Linked DNA regions of Drosophila melanogaster. The protein of the gene in region 1 interacts with the protein of each later gene in a pairwise test. Each region holds a gene or a part of one and is shown in the gene's direction. Other genes may lie near its edges.

Evidence for each region.
Region 2: the proteins of CG1314 (region 1) and RpS28b interact in a two-hybrid assay, tested with the Drosophila melanogaster proteins (one large-scale study listed by BioGRID).
Region 3: the proteins of CG1314 (region 1) and CG9222 interact in a two-hybrid assay, tested with the Drosophila melanogaster proteins (one large-scale study listed by BioGRID).

The regions. Positions count from the first base shown.
Region 1 is NC_004354.4:20,867,374-20,870,968, reverse strand, and holds CG1314 (uncharacterized protein), read left to right. Parts: upstream 1-1,571; 5' UTR 1,572-1,629; coding exon 1,630-2,766; 3' UTR 2,767-2,980; downstream 2,981-3,595.
Region 2 is NC_004354.4:9,552,661-9,556,316, forward strand, and holds RpS28b (ribosomal protein S28b), read left to right. Parts: upstream 1-1,962; 5' UTR 1,963-2,049; coding exon 2,050-2,247; 3' UTR 2,248-2,268; intron 2,269-2,335; 3' UTR 2,336-3,001; downstream 3,002-3,656. Other genes in the region: l(1)G0320 (lethal (1) G0320), read right to left, coding at 1-123, 792-855; CG15317 (uncharacterized protein), read right to left, coding at 3,122-3,455, 3,515-3,586, 3,641-3,656.
Region 3 is NT_033779.5:6,129,245-6,133,035, forward strand, and holds CG9222 (uncharacterized protein), read left to right. Parts: upstream 1-1,778; 5' UTR 1,779-1,942; coding exon 1,943-1,982; intron 1,983-2,041; coding exon 2,042-2,444; intron 2,445-2,503; coding exon 2,504-2,814; intron 2,815-2,868; coding exon 2,869-3,128; 3' UTR 3,129-3,240; downstream 3,241-3,791. Other genes in the region: tctn (tectonic), read right to left, coding at 1-640; B9d2, read right to left, coding at 643-736, 796-1,147, 1,219-1,306.

The DNA.
Region 1 (3,595 bases):
ACTAGATTGTCGTACCACACAAATTAACTGCGAGCACAATTGTTTTACACATTGTTGTCTGGGTTGTTGTCAAGACAGCAGCAGGGAAATGGAAATCTTTATGTGTGGATATGTGCCTTATGAACCCTTCGCTTAACCCCACTGCATCCCGGGGGTCTGTGTGCGTGCAAATGTGCGAGCTCAAAGTTGAATTTTCTTCAATTGACCTTTTAAAATCCTTTCCTTGTTGGTTCTTAATACAAGCACTTCTTGAATGCTGATTCGCTGACAAAAATGTTTTCTTATTTGTTTCAGGTGAGGGTTGCTTATGATGAAGAAGGCTACTTTCCTTTTAGGTAGATATCAAATTGTAAAAACTCAATTAAAGCAAACGGTAAGCAATGAAAATCCGTCTTAAAGATATCATCGAATCTAGAGATACAGCGGCTTTGGCCTGTTTGCCATTTGCGGTTGGCTGCACTGTAAGCTGACAATTGCAGCTCAAAAGCTCGAAAAGGAAAAGCGATACCAAGTGGGAAGAGCGGAAAACCCAGGGAGCATGGCTAAGGAAAGAGAGGTGGAGTTTTCCCCTCGAAACTAATGAAGTAAAAGCGAAGTAAAAGGGAGAAAGCCATAAACAAACGGCGCGAGCACGTGACTCAGCTCGTTTTTATTATTGTTACCAAGTTGCGCGACATAAATGTATAAAAGGTCCCAAAAAATACTTATTAATTGAAATAACGTTCTTCATTTATGTTTTTATCTCTTCATGCATCTTGTCCTCATTAGCTTAAATAAATTACAATCGGAATCAATTTAAATATACACTTGCTATACAGAAGTTTTTAAATATCTAATACATATTACAGTGAATAAATTAACAAAAGCTATCCAAATAATCAGTGTTATTATGAAATTGGTTTATGAAATTGGTTTAAAATTTGTTTTGATTTAATCAGTCATAATCTTTTAAATTTATTGAAGGTCTTGACATATGTTGATTGAACTCCGATTTTACTGCAATAGACCGCACTTCCTCTGCGGCGGTTCATTCCATTGTCGATTTGAAACTAAAGGAGTTGCCAGTGGGAGGTGGACGAAAGTAGTGGCGTGGGAGGGGGGTGGCCACAGGGAGTTTGCAGTCCTAGTCCGACTGTTGCCCTCTCCCTTGGAAGCGATTCCCCCTCCCCCCTTTTTACCCCTAGTTGCATTTCGTTGTTCTACAGAGGCAACTTGAGTTTTGTTTGTGTTTTGCTTTGTCTTGTATGTTGACACATTTTTCTTTCGCATTTTCTTTTTCAACTATGTATGCATGTGTGTGCGAAACCGGAAATTACAAATGCAACAAAATGTTCTCCAGAGTTTTGATAGCATTGTCTCAGTTGCAGTCTAGGAATCTCTTCTAAAGACGATAATTCCACGCTCGTGACTCCGTCATGGAACTCATTAAAAGAATCACATAATATTAACTTGAAACCGTTAGAAAAAAAAAATAAACAAGTAGTTTGTGAAATAAGTAATCAAAAGTTGATTTCATTTGTTCTAACCTTCTGTCATCAGTATAATTTTACGTCGAGACGTCAACAGTTCGACTCACACAGAATTATAATCACAAAAAAAAAAAACCGACATTTTCTTAAAAATTCCTAAATGGAGAACAACAATTGCGAGGGCGAGCAACCATCGACATCCGGTGCATTCTGTAGGTGCTCCGAGTCTGGCATTGGTATATCTGCCGTCCTGGATCTCGCTCAGTCGGAGTACTCCCTGGACACCACGCCGGAAGCTGTGATGGCGAGTGCATGTCGTCTGGAGAACGAGAACGATGGTAATGATACCGATGAGGAGGTGGAGATCTGCTTCACCAGCTTGATGCCCGATCACCGTAGGCGCTTGTATATGGACTGCAAGCTGTCTCTTCCGGCGGGCGGAAGAGTGCCCATGCGCGGCGGCGCAGAAGCCATTTCCGCTTCCCCACATGGCAGAATCAGTTCTCCGGAAATTCGCTATGAGCGGCTGAGAAATACTGCAGTCGAGGTGCGCAAATACTGGAGATTGCAGAAGCTGGACATGGCTTGTCCGCTGAGCAATTGCGACTTGATGTTCAATCCTGAGCAGCTCCTAAGTCACTGCCTGATGCACCACGAGCACATTATTACAATGGAAATGAAGCCCAAGGAGCCAAAGGTTCTGAAGCTGTGTGGAAAATCCTTGCCCGAGGACAGGGGCAAAAGCAACTGTGTGGGTCTGATGATCTACGAGAGTGGCAACAACGCGACCAGGAACTTAAATCTACCCAATATCTACAAGGACTGGGAGTGCCAATTGCCCGTCCTGATAATGCTGTGGAAGACTTCCTGGGACTCGATGCCCGTCGGACCGCGAGTGACCCATATCTATATTCTGTGGCTGTGCTGTCCCCAGGCCCAGACGCCTTTGTTGGTATCCGTGAATATCGGAGAAAACACTCCGGGAGTGCCACGTCGGCAGATGATTCAGACCTGTCAAGGCTCGGAGACCCTGAAGAATTGCGATCTGCTTTCGGACAGTCCGCATTTTATGCGATTCACACATCGCGAAATGAAGGAGCACACTGAAGACTACACGCTGGACGTCGACCTACAGTTCACCATTCTAGAGGATGAGGGTAGAGTGGGGCCCATATCGCCTAATCCTAATGAGGGCACCTTTCGCGAAGACGACATCGAAATAGAACTTGCGGAAAAGGAGAATACCTCCAAGGAGGAGGTATTTATTGGGAACTCAGAAGGGCCTCAAGCGAACTAAACGCAGTCTATCACAATGATTTTTGGAATGATTTTTCAAAATTATTTGCATTACTTTGATACTGTACCTAAAAATTGTTTCAAGTTTTTTTAAATTATTTTGGATCACTTTGTACTTGGACGAAATACCATATCTCATAAGCAATTCAACATATGCAATCTTGTAAATTTTCATCAAAATTGTATCAGTAAAGATCAAATTCCTTATTAGAACTAAAATTAAATTGTTATTAATTAATGCGATGACAAATTAGTTTGAAAGTGCCATTTACATCGTTCAATAGGTTTAAATAATTAATTGTTTAGTCGATAATAAAATAAAATAAATAATAGTTTCGAACTGCCATTAAATCGGCCCTTTGAGTTCAAACTTGTATGTATGGTATGTGTACATTTGAAAGTGCATCATAATGTTGAGTGTATTTGCAATTTTCTCGGTCAGACTGACAGCTTAATTTAATTATTCTTGAACACAAATGTTGTGGCAAACTCGCCCACTTAACCCGCTGTGTGTTTGCTTGGCCAAAAAGCTGTTCGCTGGAAATTTTTCGCTTACGCCGCAGCGTATGCAACATGTTTGCCATGTGGGGCAGGGGCGTCGTAAAAGAGGGGGACAAGGGCTGTTCGGTTTTGCTGTCCAGGTCGTTGGCAGCCATTAGCACAAATGTCGTCGCAAAAGGGGGCGTGGCGGGCAGAAGGAGGAGTAACTGCATCAACAACTTTTTAACCAACTTGCCAGCCCAGACTAACAAGACCGCAGAAATTGTGAACAGGGGTGTTGTGGAGAGGGGCCAAGGGGACTTGTGGCGGCAAACTAACTAACTCGATGC
Region 2 (3,656 bases), about 11 Mb from region 1:
TGCTGCCCGTGTCGCTATCCTCGTCCGCTTCTGCATCCTCGCCAGTAACGGCACCCTCCTCGCCCTCCACGTCCACCAGGTCGTCCTCCACGGCCTCGGCGGCATAGGCTCCAAACTTGTTGGCTGTAAATTAAAGAGAGAGTTTTGTTATGGTGAGTGCTGAAGAATTGAAGACATATTAAGTCCTTGGGTTCAAGTACACGGAACTACCTTCGCATACTACTCTTTGAAACTAATCAGAGATATGATATATTTAGATTGGTTTTCTTCGCAGGTTATAGTTACAGTTACACCTATTTTAATAGCTATTGTAACGGGGTCATTTGGCTTGCATTTGGGTACTTTATACTTGATTTATAGTTCACAACCTAGCAAACTAGCTCTGCGCCTGTCTGCAAATTTGGGATATGGCCAGCCGATCAATGTGAAACTAGGATATATATCGAGTATCCTTAAAAAAAAAACACCCTTGTGCTCAGTTTGAAGCTTTGATCTTGGTAACTAAACGAATTCATAGACATCTCAGACGAGCCAACTCACGAGTCAGAGCGAGAGGTCGATAGGCCTCATGCCAACTCAACAGTTTTGACCGTATGATAAAAATTCGACCACCAAAGATGAATGAAAATCACTGAATTACGATGTTAGTATACGGTGTGCATTGATTGGCAGTCCCATAAAGCATAATCCACGTAGCAGATGCGTCGGCAAAATGCCACGTATACGGATGGGAACACCCCCGCCCACCGAGCGATTGTTATTTATCGGCGAGGGTAAGAGACTCTACTTACGCGCCGAGAAGGTGCAGATGACGATGGGCAGGACCATCAGCATTAGGAACATCAGATGCCTCATCTTGTTGGCTGTTTTATAATGTCGTCGGGGCTCCAAATGCAATCGAATGCGCGGCGCACACACGGAAATTTGGCTGGGAAATCGGCTGAGGGAAAAACGCACGCACACACAACCTTCCCGATCGAGTGAAAATGAAGAAGTGACGGGCTTCGGTGGTATAGCGGCGAAAACAGAAGCCGACAATGCACGAAGTGGGCACGAAGCCGAGACACGACTTTCACTGACAAATGTCTACGTGGTGCCACGTCTAGGGTTGCAAGGGCCTCTCGATCCGTAGGTCAATTACTCAGTTTTTAGCTATTTAGCTTACTCAGGATAGGCATTCTGCCTAGTCATACATAAAACATTCATTTGATTATAGTTAAAAACATTTTCTCATATCTAAAATAATCAATAATATTAGATCTTGGCTTATTTTGTTGACATTTGAGTGCACCGACAACTCTAGCGAGACAAGTAGTGATGCCAAACGCCGCAACTGTCATTCCTCGTGTTTTTTCATGTTTATCATTTAAAAGCAATATTTTGGTCAACATAATATTTTATGCAATTATAAAATTCAAAATATATTTATTTTTTATACCAAATATCATTTTTTGACGGAGGTAAAAATGCTACAAATATTTTACAGCACTGTTCGGCCATCGTGCTGCCAACTTGGCTATTACACCGCTATTATCTGGCTATTTTTTCTGCTAGAAAATATTATGTTGACATTATTAATATAACATTGTCTGTATACCAGAAATATTATAAAACAAAATTGAATGGTCAAATTTAAATGTAGCAATACAAATTGGAAAAATTTTTAAAAAATCAATAATAGATATATGAACACAATTTTCTATTGTTATTGTGTGAACAATAAAAGTTCGCTTAAAGATTTAGGAAAAATGCAATTAAATATAAATACTAATTTTTGGAACACGAACCATTTAAAAAAACAAGGCATACGGAGGGTAAAAACTACTTTTTCGAGTAGTAAAATAATTTTTTTCGCTATTTTCTAGCCACTCAAGCGCAATCGATAGTGAGCGGGGCCGTTAATCGCAGCTATCGATTGGCCTGCGCAACGCAGCCAACTTCACGTCGCTGTGCCGATAACCGCTCAACTTCCTTTTTGCTTGCGGCTGTCAATTGAAGCGCATCTTGCACGTGAATTCTCTGCGAATTTAGCATTTTTAGCGATCTAACATGGACAAACCAGTTGTGTGGGCACGCGTCATGAAGGTTCTGGGCCGCACCGGCTCCCAGGGTCAGTGTACCCAGGTGAAGGTCGAGTTCCTGGGCGAGCAGAACCGCCAGATTATCCGAAACGTGAAGGGACCAGTTCGCGAGGGCGACATCCTGACCCTTTTGGAATCCGAACGTGAAGCCAGGAGGCTGCGCTAATTGGCGACCAAACTCGAGAAGGTAAGCGCACCTGGAATATTGGCCACAGTGAACACACGTCTTAACACACCTTCTATTTATTCCGCAGACCTTTTTACACACACATACACAAAACTGTTTTTCGCACGCGCCTTGTTTTTTTCGCGGAGAAGAAGAAGCGGATGGCAAGAAATCCGAACGAGGCTGCTGCATATTCGTTATAAACAAATGAAAATACACACCTAATTCGCCAGAAAATCAGCAAAAATGTGTTTTAAATAAATCTCGAGAGCATTGGACCGCCTTTGTACGAAAAGAAAACCAATCAAGCCTGTGTTTTGGTTTCATTACCTTTTTTGTTTCTGTGTTTTTTTTGAGTGCCCAGTGAAAATTGACAATGGAATGTGGTCTTCAAGCGACTTCCTTTAACAATATGTATTTGCATTTAGCAGAAACCCTTGCCTTCTCGGAAATCAACAAAGAAAATACAGACGAAATTCTCCAGTTGCTAAAAACACGTTTCGTTGATTTCCTTATAAACGCAAAGTTTTTCTGTTAAACACAATGATCAGAAGTTCTGGACACGTTAACATCTTAAAAAAAATGTTTTATTTTTTCGTCCACGAAAAGATATTTCAAAGAGAGGCCAGCCGAGTGATTATATAGCCCAATCACATTTCAGATTTGACAATCAATGTTAATGAATGCACAGTATTTTTTGTATAAAAAATAGTTTAAATATTTGAACTGCTGGAGCTGCACAGAAAATATACGTAACATTTTTATAATAAAAGTCAATAGCTCAGTTAGTTAATATATAAAACATTGTATAGCAAATTATGGTTTAAAACCACTGAGGTGCATATGTTTCTATATTCCTTAAGCCTAATTTTCCCTACAAAGTCAGCGGAAAACTGGACAGTCTCTCTATTTTGGCCAATCCAAGGGTAATGCGTGCTTCTGCAGGTTCCGGCAGTTGGAGATCGGATTTGAAGGACTCCAACGAGGATTCGGGTGCGGAAAACTTGGGTTGCAGCTGACTAAGATGAAGCTCTAGGTATTTAACCTGGTTCTGCAGCAGTTTCAGCGATTCCTCCAGGAAATTTCTGAATTCTGTCAATGCTGCAGGTGTTTTGGTTTGCTGCTGCTCATTACATAGGTGCAGGCACTCAATCTCGAAGTCAGTTACTTGGGCGGATATCTGCCCTAGCTCGGAAACCAGTTTCGATCTATGAATTGGATGGCAAGGCAAATCAGAAAAGTTTCTGGCTGGGATTAGGCCACTTACATGCTGTCCTGCAGGCTACGGTAAACATCGTGGCACACCGAAAGAAGCGCAAATGTGGCAACTTGATTGGAACTGCAACAAAGTGGCAAATTAGCATTGTTTTCATTTATCAAATGAAGTTTTTACCCCGTGACCAGTCGAT
Region 3 (3,791 bases), on another chromosome or scaffold:
ATTCTTGGTATTCCAAGTTATCCTTCCATTTTCTGTACTGCGAGGTATCGATATTCATATCCGGCGGCTGCGTCTTTGTTGCTTTTGTGTTGCTGCGAAAGACGCACAGCCAACCATCGTTGATCTGGCAGGTGGGCAAGCCGTGGGTGTACTGGAAATCCTCCAGGCGCGATTCAAGCTGCGGGAGCAACGAATTCGGCAGGCAATTGAACACTTGGCGGGTTTCCAGAGGACAATCGTTGTCGCAGCAGCAGTTGAGATCGCATCTGCCTGCCTGAAGATCACAGGAGCAGTAGTAAAATGTATTGTCTCCGGATACGGACAGGGTGGAGTTCACTTCAGTAGAGTTCAAAGGTAGCGCCGTCGACATGGTTGGAGATGCCACAGCCACCTTGGGCTTCTGTTGGACACGCGGTGGAAAAGTGATTGCAGGCGTAGTGGTGGTCACCTCCGCCTCCGGCAGCGTGCTGATGGAGCTGACAGTTTCGCTGCTCGGAGCACCGGTCGTGGCTGGGGCTTCCGTTGTAGTGGACGCCGTTGGCGATATTGTGGCATTGTAATTGTGCGAGATTCCAATTTTAATGGAGTGTGTGTGGTATGTGGCCAGGCACAGGACGACTAGTGGCAACACTTCCTTCATGGCTACTTGAACTCCACGCCGTATTCGTCGAACTTTCGAAAGATTAGGTTTAGCTCAACAATGACCTTTCCAGAACTCAGAGTTTGTAACTTGTAACTGTGCGAGAAATATTTACTAAATAGTCAACCAAGTGTAAAGAGGTTTCCTTAACTCACCGCTCAACACCCGAGTAGAGCAGATCCGTCTTGCTGAGGGCCGCTCCTCCGCCTCCGAAACGCTCACGCAGCGACTGCCACAAGCCGTTGGGAGCAACCTTCCAGGTGCCGATCTCCAGGCGATGGGTGCCTGGTGTGGACGGTACGTGCACAAAGCCGTAGCCAACGGGCCAGGACTGTTGCAGTACGTTAACGGCGTACACTTCCACTAGCAGGCGGGGCCAGCCCTGGACAGATGCGGTGCTCAGATGAATGTCCAGCGGCTGCGCGAAATCCGAGCTGCTCTGGAGCCGGTGGGACGCCACGTGGCTCTGACCCTGAACCTCGCCCTGAACCAGGCGCCAGGCGTTTCCTACCGAGCGGGCAAGCAATTAGGTTAATTGAATTCCGGACAGGTGTATCTGCTGCGTGGGGGAAACTCACCGCTCTGCAGACTCCACTTGCAGTACAGATGCGGCTCGGCAAAGTCAACAGCTTTCAATATCTGCCCGATTATGTGCACCTCCGCCATCAATTCATCAACTCTGAACTTTATATTAGTCGGCTTCTTAGTCAGTTTTTATCACTGGCTTATTCAGTTGACTGGCATTCGGTCAAATTTTTTGGTTTCGTTGTTTTGGCAGTTGACCGTTGTCAAAGTAACGGAAAAGCAGGGAGGGTGCTGCCAACTCATGCGGAAAGGCAAAGGAACTGGTTCGCGTTGACAGGATCAATTTAAAAAAAAATACTTTTTTATGGATGTAAAATATATTTATTTCTTTATGCTATTATCGAAATGAGTTTGTTTTCGCCTTTCACGTCTACCAATCAATATAATCGTGATATCATTACAATATTACGCCACTATTTTAGTTATTATTTATTATTTACAGGTTTTGCTTGCTTATTTGGTATATAGAGTTCGTCTTCTTCTTATAAAGTAAATTTTTGTAATCGAAATTCTGATCTTAGATACTCTAATCAAAAATGGAAAATAATTTGTAGTAACGTATAAATATATATTTTCATTGTATGTCACAGTATTGGAGAAAAATTCGCAAAATTTCTAGTTTCCTAATATGATAAATATTTAATGAGTCTTTGTTTGATCACGATATTCCCGTATTATTGGCGTCGTTGGTGAACCGTACTTGTGGTACCCTTTTTAATGGCGACATCTCCCAGAAGAAAAAACGATCAAGGCGGAGGTAAGTGCTCAAATCGCTTAAAATTGTGTTTATTAAAAGCACCATGCGATTTCCGCTAGTAATTGGCGCTAGCTCATCGCAGGACCTCGTCACTGACCAGAACTCGGGTCGTCGTCAGGAGCAGAAGGTCTACACCTTCAGTGACCGGCCACCACAACCAAAGCCACCGGCACCATCCGGAGTCGTTCCGGTAAAGGCCGACGACAAGTCGAAGCCGCAGAAAACCATTCTTGAGGAGCATGGCATCATACTCGGTAAGGTTATTGGCACCGGAAACTATGCCAAGGTGAAGATTGGCTTCTCCGAGGAGTACGGAAAGCGGGTGGCTGTCAAGATCATATCCAAAGTGAAGGCTCCCTCCGAGTACACGCAAAAGTTCCTGCCGCGAGAGATCGAGGCGGTGAAGGGTCTGCACCACGAAAATCTGATAACTTTCTATCAGAGTATCGAGACCAGTCATAGGTGAGTCACTCTTGATGGTATAGAATAATGCTAATATGAACTATTCTTGATGCACCCAGGGTGTACTTGATAATGCAGCTGGCCGAGAATGGAACGCTTCTGGACTACGTTCGTGAGCGAAAGTTTCTGGACGAGCCGCAGTCACGTACGCTATTCAAGCAGCTGGTGAGTGCCGTGGAGTACATCCACAGCAAGGGAGTGGTGCATCGGGATATTAAGTGCGAGAATCTGCTGCTGGATGAGAACTGGAATCTGAAACTGATCGACTTCGGGTTCGCAAGGAAGGATACCCGAACCTCCGACAACCAAGTGATACTCTCGAAAACCTTCTGCGGCAGCTATGCCTACGCCAGTCCAGAGATCCTCAAGGGTGAGTCGCGTATCTTTAACGTAATTTAATGCTCTAATATCAATATAATTGGAGGCGTCGCCTATGATCCTTTCATGTCGGACATCTGGGCCTGCGGCGTCGTCTGCTATGCGATGGTCTTTGGACGCCTTCCCTACGATGGCTCCAATGTGCACATCCTGCTCAAGCGCATCAATCAATCGCTGGTCTTCCCCAAATCCCCATCAGCTTCCAGCGAGTGCAAGCACATGATTATGCATATTCTAGCACCGGTGAAGATCAGGTACAATATTCCGCAGGTCAAGGAGGACCCTTGGTATTCGCCTAGCAAATAGTTGCTACTCGTTTATGGTGCAGTGCAACAAAGCTGAAAAATTTCAACGTTTAGAACTAACAAATATTATAATTTTTCGATTCAAGTCAATAAATATATATTATTAGATTAGCAAATTTAAGTGGTCAGTCCTTTGGTTTTTTCCGTATTATGAGATAATCACAGTTTTCCATAAGGCAAGAGATAATGTTGCACCCTTACTCACGTCCCACATCTGAGCTCTGAACTTTCCCCTGAATTGTTCCTGCTTGTTGGAGCATGCATGTTAATGTCCCGTAATCACGTTGATTTCACAATATCCTTGCGCATCCTGCTCGGGGCAATGGTGGTGGCATCTCAGCTCGGGGCTTGCTCTTCGCAATTCTGCTCGGCAATGTCAAAATTGTTTGTGGCAGTTGCCACCGCAGCTGCGTCGCCTGCCAGCGGAAATGCCGTTGCAATGGACACACAGATGGGAGGCGCCAGGACCTTCTCCGCCACCCACTTTCTACCCCCGAGTCGCCAGTTGTGTCACACGCAAAACTGACAAAACAGCAAAAATGACAACTGAAATATGCGATGTTGGGCGAAATTTGCGAGAGTCAAAAGGAGCTGGCAGCCGGCGGGATCTGCCCCATCCTGAGAGCCATAAGCCAGCTCCAAGCTGAGAGCTCTGGCGTTGTGG